2 linked regions of the Nothobranchius furzeri genome follow. The protein of the gene in region 1 binds, or shares a complex with, the protein of each later gene. Links are inferred from orthologs where the notes say so. Each region holds a gene or a part of one and is shown in the gene's direction. Other genes may lie near its edges.

The links.
Region 2: the proteins of fzd4 (region 1) and ndp are in contact, whole or in part, in a crystal structure (PDB 5BQE), measured with the Homo sapiens proteins. The link is inferred for Nothobranchius furzeri from reciprocal best matches to the Homo sapiens genes FZD4 and NDP. Residues at the interface, in NP_036325.2 of Homo sapiens: Ser51, Met52, Gln54, Asn55, Leu56, Gly57, Gln95, Phe96, Met105, Thr107, Lys109, Ile114, Asn152, His154, Met157, Cys158, Met159, Glu160, Gly161, Pro162; in NP_000257.1 of Homo sapiens: Asp33, Ser34, Pro36, Arg38, Met40, Arg41, His42, His43, Tyr44, Val45, Asp46, Lys58, Met59, Val60, Leu61, Lys102, Lys104, Leu106, Tyr122, Leu124, Ser125.

Annotation. Positions count from the first base shown.
Region 1 is NC_091753.1:34,489,249-34,493,368, reverse strand, and holds the start of fzd4 (frizzled-4), read left to right. Parts: upstream 1-1,222; 5' UTR 1,223-1,455; coding exon 1,456-1,707; intron 1,708-4,120. UniProt on the Homo sapiens protein: Receptor for Wnt proteins.
Region 2 is NC_091754.1:39,764,439-39,767,057, reverse strand, and holds the end of ndp (norrin), read left to right. Parts: intron 1-1,638; coding exon 1,639-1,863; 3' UTR 1,864-2,021; downstream 2,022-2,619. UniProt on the Homo sapiens protein: Activates the canonical Wnt signaling pathway through FZD4 and LRP5 coreceptor.

The DNA of each region.
Region 1 (4,120 bases):
CTTCCCAACCATTTCTCCTATCCATCCAAGCCTAATCCAGTTTCTGATAACACTCCTCTCTTTTCTAAGCTCTCCTGACAAATTGTAGCAGGTTCTATCAGATTTTTTGGGATCAAAGACATGACTAACACACAAATTTAAATCACTATCACTTTATCACTGCTGATATGGACAGAATGACGTTTGATCTGTGACTTTTGCTATCAGATTATACCGATGAACCTTTTGAGTGCTAAAAAAATCACTTTATTTGTCAAACTGAGGATGAAATCAACCTGGAAGAAAGTATTTGATGTAGTGTTATTTAAAAAAAAACTCTTTGAGCAGCTGAAGTGAATTTGCAACTCATTTGAAACACTGGTATGTAAAGTATTCCCAATATGTTGAGTGTGAGTACATGTTCTTTCAGACTCTCAAAACTCAACAAAACAGCCCCCGGCACTTTCTCATCCGAGTCCTCTGACGACGCTGAAAAGCCAAAACAACACTCTTCACTGTGAGTTTCATGCTGCAAGAGAGAGGCCTTCTCTCAGGTTGCCACGACCAAACAAAACCTGTCCATTATGTACTTTCATTGCAATGCAAAACAGATTTCTGATGCTTCAGCATCACTTAAGGCCCTACTTTCAATTACAATGTCAGGAGCACTTAGAGCTGACGAGAAGGGGAGTGGAACCTGTGGTGAGCCTGCAAACAGTCCTACAACACAACCAGGGACTGAAATTATCAATAAACATACCCACATGCAAAGAAATTGCATAAACAAACAACGAAAATAGATTTATCCAGGCTAACATGAATACAAGTTGTGAAGATTTTTAATATCTGCAGAAGAGTAGAGTGGGCACAAAGAGGAAGATTGGGATAGAAAAAAAAGGATGGAAACAGAAATGGGACAAGAGAAGGTAAAACAGAGACAGAAGGGGGAGAAATAAAGGAAGGGGGAGGAGTCTGGATGGTGATCCGGCCCTCCTAGCCCTGGGTTGGTCAGGGAAACCCAACTCCCGCGCGGGGATTGGTCGGATCTCCACCGGACAGAGGGAAAACAGTCTCCCTTCACAGACACAATAAAAGTTTTGAGCTGGGCGCTTTAGCAGCCAGTGGACGCACAACAGGACCTGCATGCTGTGTTTCTCTCTGCGCCTTTATGCACTAAGCTGCGCACGGAAAGCCCCACGAAGCTGAGGATTTATTCTAAACGCAGTTTTTCTATAAAAATGAAGTTTTACATTATATATTAGCGGGAAATACGCGCACACGTCTCGCTTCGCTGCTGCTTTGTGGATTTTCGGATGTTGGTGAATGGCACACTGACGCACGGATTACACGCGCTCCGCTCCTGCTGGACCGATACATCCACGTGCTCCCGTTTCCAAGGCGACCTTACAGTGTTTTGTGGGGATAATAACCGGGTCAGTATTTTAAACCGAGGTCACCCAGCCGCTTGGTTCATTGATGGGGGTGAACATGTCCGGGACGATCCTCCTCCACCTCCTACTCTTCTACTCCGTTTGTCCGCTCAACGCTTTCGGCGAGGACGAGGAGGAGATGACCTGCGACCCGATCCGGATCAGCATGTGCCAGGGTCTCGGCTACAACGTCACCAAGATGCCCAATCTGGTCGGCAACGTGCTGCAGTCGGACGCGGAGCTGCAGCTGACCACGTTCACACCGCTCATCCAGTACGGCTGCTCCAGCCAGCTCAAGGTATACGGGCAGCAGCTCCGTGATCACTAATCATGCGTTAGAGAAGTGAAGCTGGGAAGGGTCCAGCTAGAAACTTTTTGGATCGGCGGGTCCAGTTCCTAAAAAAAGCCTGGCAGAGTTCAGAAAGTCTGCTGTATTTGTGTGTGCGTAAAAGGAGCGTGGCTCCAGAGCACATGACAGGCAGCCAGGCTGCGCAGACTGATGGTGCCAGCAATAATGAGCATATTATAGATTGATTCCCAGGCAGTTAAAATAAGTGGAGGGCTCCCTCCTCTCCTCCCCCCGTCGTGCCATGCTGTCATGTTAATTTGGCTGAAAATGCCCCCTCTGTCTGTTGACATTCTGAGTTCATGGCTCCGCACAGCAGCAGCCGAGCTTTATACTGTAGTCTTCCTGTTAACAATGGTGCCCTCAGTAACTTTAGACAAATGCTGCTTGTTTGACTCTTGCAACTTCGAGGGCAAAAACATGGATTTCTGAAATTTTAACTTCATGCACTGAGATTATGGGGTGCTGATTGTAAATGTATATTAAATAAACAAGCAGGTACATTTGGTCATGTTTAGCTCCCCATAAAAACAAAAAATAGGGTGGGACATTTTTAAAGACAACTTCTCATCCCGTATATTTAGGATATGACAATGTTTCTAAACTAAATAATATAATTTCAAAAGTTATAAACGTGACAAGTGTTACATCTTAAAATCTTATATAGAGTTGAATCTAAACATTTTTAATTTAAGTACAAATATGTTTAACGTGACATCTATTTGTTGAAATCCAAGCACGAAAGTGGTTGTTTTAAACTAAGTAAACATCTCAGGATCCATTTGATAGATTAGGAGTTAATTTAACCATAGATTATTTATAAATGATTCTGTTTGGGTTTCCTCCACAAATGGTTAAAATGATTCTAATCCAAGACCTTAAATAGGGACTCTACTCACTATGCTTTATTTATTTATTTTTTGGGTGAGATACTTTTGTTTTACAGCAGTCTGAATTCGGTCCAGTATTTATTTAAAACAAAAAACATTTACTTTTAGATGCAACTAAATACATTGATTAATTTAAATATTTATATTAAACTTCATATTTTTATAGTGGATTATAATTTTATATAGTCAGGCTTTATTCTAAATAGTTATTATTTTACGTCATTATTTGTGGTCTGTTAATATTTGCGTGTATAACTTTACAGTCAGGGCCCCATGCGGGAGTAATGACTGCATAAAAGATGGAGATAACCTCCCTTTTCTCTTTTGGTGAATTATTAAGCTGTTTGGATCCTGTTGTTAAAATATGTTATGTGACAGCCAAGCAGGATAAAATCAACCTGCCGTCCTCCAAGTTGTAAATCATCCTGTAAGTTTAGCTGACACCCCTCCCTTCCTGCTGCTCTCCCTGCACACGCAGAGAAAAACACACTAAAGATGGAGAAAGAGGAAAGAGCCACCAGCTAATGGAAGGCTTCCTGAGTGGTAACTGGAGCGGCTTTTAGCATTAAAGTGGCAGCGCTCAGGTTACAGACGTTCACCGTCCTCGTCACTGGTTAGGCATGCACCGTGAGAAGGTTCATTACAAACCAGGCTGGATGTAACTTTATATCTTCTACTTGTTTTGTGAATGAATGAGTCGAAACGCAAAAGCTGCAAGGATTTGCATCCAGTTCTGTTTACAACCTTTCGGATTTGATCTGAACTCACCGAAGGGCTCAAGTTAGATGTGTTAAGTTTGGGAACAGATGTTTATCAGTGTTGTGGGGAAACTGTTTCCAGATCAGTTAGGCAGCTCAGTTTGCAGCTATAAAGCTGACCCAGACACTGATCAGAGAGCAGTAGAGAAAATTAAGTGCTGGGAAAATGTGATCTGGAGTTTATATCAGTTGGAGTTCACACAGGAGGGGATTCGACTCAGCTGATGCATCATCAGACGCGTGTGTGTTTGCTCAGATGTTTAACCCTCTGGAGGCAGGCGTTGCAGATTTGTAACAGTTAAAACCTACCTACCTGGTTACTCCACATACGTATTTCATGAGCATTTTTTAACTCAGAATTACCCCTGAAGGACTTATTTTTTCGTCCTTTTATCAAAATTGAGTTTGAGCCTGAGAGGGTTGTTTGCGAATAAATTCTCAGACTTTCTCAATTTGAACACTCTTGGATGATTTGGAGATTCCGTTTGTCCAGAAGCTGAGTGTCAGGGACTTGCATAAACCAGCCAGGAGAGCACGGATGATTTTCTTGACATGTTAATTTATTACTTTTTTTTTCTTTTCTCCAAAGAGGGTTCCAACCAGCACTTGACATTACAAGACGATGGACGAAGTAACAAAGTAACCCAAACTCAGGATCTGACTACAGACATGCACCAAACAAAAAACCTCCTACAGACACAACATGATCAACTTAAA
Region 2 (2,619 bases), on another chromosome or scaffold:
CACCAGATATTTAACAGTCAAGCCACTAATATTAGTTCAATAACAAAATCAGTTTTTACTTAACGCCAACATTCTGTGAGAGTCAGCATTCTGTTAGTTGAGCTAACTTTGACTGGCCATCGGAGGGAAACTACAGCTGACGCAGCAAAACAGTTCCTTCAGCTATTCAGAAACAGCTGTTCTAGATGCAAACAATTTCATCTATCTGTTGTGATCCGGGAGACAACTCTGGACCGACCTGGTCGTACTGAGGTCTTTTCAACGAACTTTGGTACCTTGGGGTCCCACCACCCCACCCCCGACATCTCTGAACCGAAAGGGAGTCTCCTCAGGGGTACGTAGAACACAGCCAGATTGCGTCTGGTGCCGTTTTGATAATAACCAACTCCATAGTTTAATGCAGACCAAATTCTTTTCACCCAGAACTCAGTTATTCTAGATACAAGGTTCTGATAAACACACACCATAAAATCACCATACATCACATCCCGTCCATTTAGATTAATCCATCACAGTAGCCTTGGTTAACTTGTCATGTTTTTAATTGTTTAGAAAATAAATTCTTACTTTAATAAACCTGATTCTGTCTGAATTAATACGAAGTGTGATATGATCACTGAAAAGGCAAAGAATCCTAGAATCTTCTGATTAAACATTCAAAAACCAATAAGATGTGATATTCTATATTTATATAGAGAATCACAGCTTATTGGCCATAAGTAAAGGTAATATATTAAGCTTAAAAGCAACAATATTTAACCCTACACAGAGTTTAACTGGAGGAAGTTATCTTCTAGCCAGCTGGTGATCGCTGATAGACACTCTAGTAATTCAGACAGTTTGTAGAACTCAGAATCCTTAAAGGAGCAGTACAGCTGAATGTCATCTGCATATAGGTGATAAGAGACATTATGAAAAGAATCAGTTATCTGCTCTGGTGTGCTGCAGACTTTAGGATTCCTGACTTTTATTTTTAATGTTTGTGTTTTACACTAATGACACATTAAATCTGTGAAGCAAACAGCTGTTGAAGCTCTAGCTGTGAGAGGTGAAGCAGGAACAATAAGCACTAAGAGGGGCAAGCAAAGAAGGAGAGAGAAAGAGAGAGAGTGATAGCCTGATCTCTGGTCAGCACAAACAGAACTGGTTTTAATGTGTGTGTGTGTGTGTGTGTGTGTGTGTGTGTGTGTGTGTGTGTGTGTGTGTGTGTGTGTGTGTGTGTGTGTGTGTGTGTGTGTGTGTGTGTGTGTGTGTGTGTGTGTGTGTGTGTGTGGTGACACGCAGCAGCTGACAGGATCACATAACCTAGGAGGCTGTTCAGGGTAGCAACAGGAATGTAGTGACTCTCATCGGAATGCTACTTGGGAGGCCTCTAGTCTAACAGTCTGATGGAGTGTGTGGGTGTGTACTTAGAGATGACAAGTTGCTGGTTATCTATCCTCCAAACGATTCTTCTAATGTCAGTGTGGGAACCTGAGTGGAGTGATGGGGTTGCAGGTTTGCTGCTGGAGGTCTACGCAGACATTCAGAACCCAAATGGACTTGTCTGGGCAGATGCAAGCCCTGTCTGCCAGAACCTCTGGTTGATGAGAACACCTGTGATGAATCTTCTGTCTTTTCTGGCATGCTGTTTTGCAGATGGTGCTGCTGGCACGCTGTGAGGGCCACTGCAGGCACACCACCCGCTCAGACCCCCTAATCTCCTTCAGCTCCGTGCTCAAACAGCCTTTCAAAAGCTCCTGTTCCTGCTGCCGGCCACGCACCTCCAACCTGAAGGCAGTGAGGCTGCGCTGCTCCGGTGGGATGCGCATCACAGCCACTTACAGATACATCTTAGCCTGCAACTGCAAGGAGTGCAGCTGAGCTGGCAGCAGCTCCTTCTCACCTTCCAGACTCTCAACATCCAACATTTTTCTTGGCCTCAGAATATATGTTCAGAACCAGCAAATCTGGAGAGACTATTAGTTCCAAATGGGAGTGAAATGGTGTTTCGCTCTAAGCTTTGGTTTGGAGATTATAACACATTGAGATGCCATCTGCAGGTCTATGTACCCCTACGGAAGTCCCCGTTTAGATCTGGAATGTCGGGGGTCCAGCTTGGACCTTCTTGGAACTGACACCTGTAGATATGCAGCGGTTGCTGACCCTTCCAGTCTTGAGTTACTCCCAGGTCACGACAGTTTATTGGCATCAGCGAGACCCTGAAGGGGTCGTGATGGTTAAACTTTTATTCTGAAGGAACCGTTGCTGCAGGTGGAACATGCAACAGATTTAATCCAGGCAACAGATTTAATCCAGCTTGTCGTTAGGTTCTTTCAGCTTTAAGAGGAAAGTTACGGATTGGCCACTCCGATAACTTCTCTAGAACGCTTGGAACTGAAGTTAAGATGACGTGGGGCATAGTTTTATAATTTGGATGTTTTGATTTACTGTCAAATCAGAATTTGACAACAAAAGCAAATTATACAAATACCAACAAAAACCACGCCTCGCATCAGATCTGGAAGGTTCTGATTGGATCAGAAAAAGGAAATGTGTCATGTGACTTTAACATTACGTGTGATCAGTCTAGTGTAAATATTTAAAGTTATATTACTTATTAAAATACTATCATAGGAT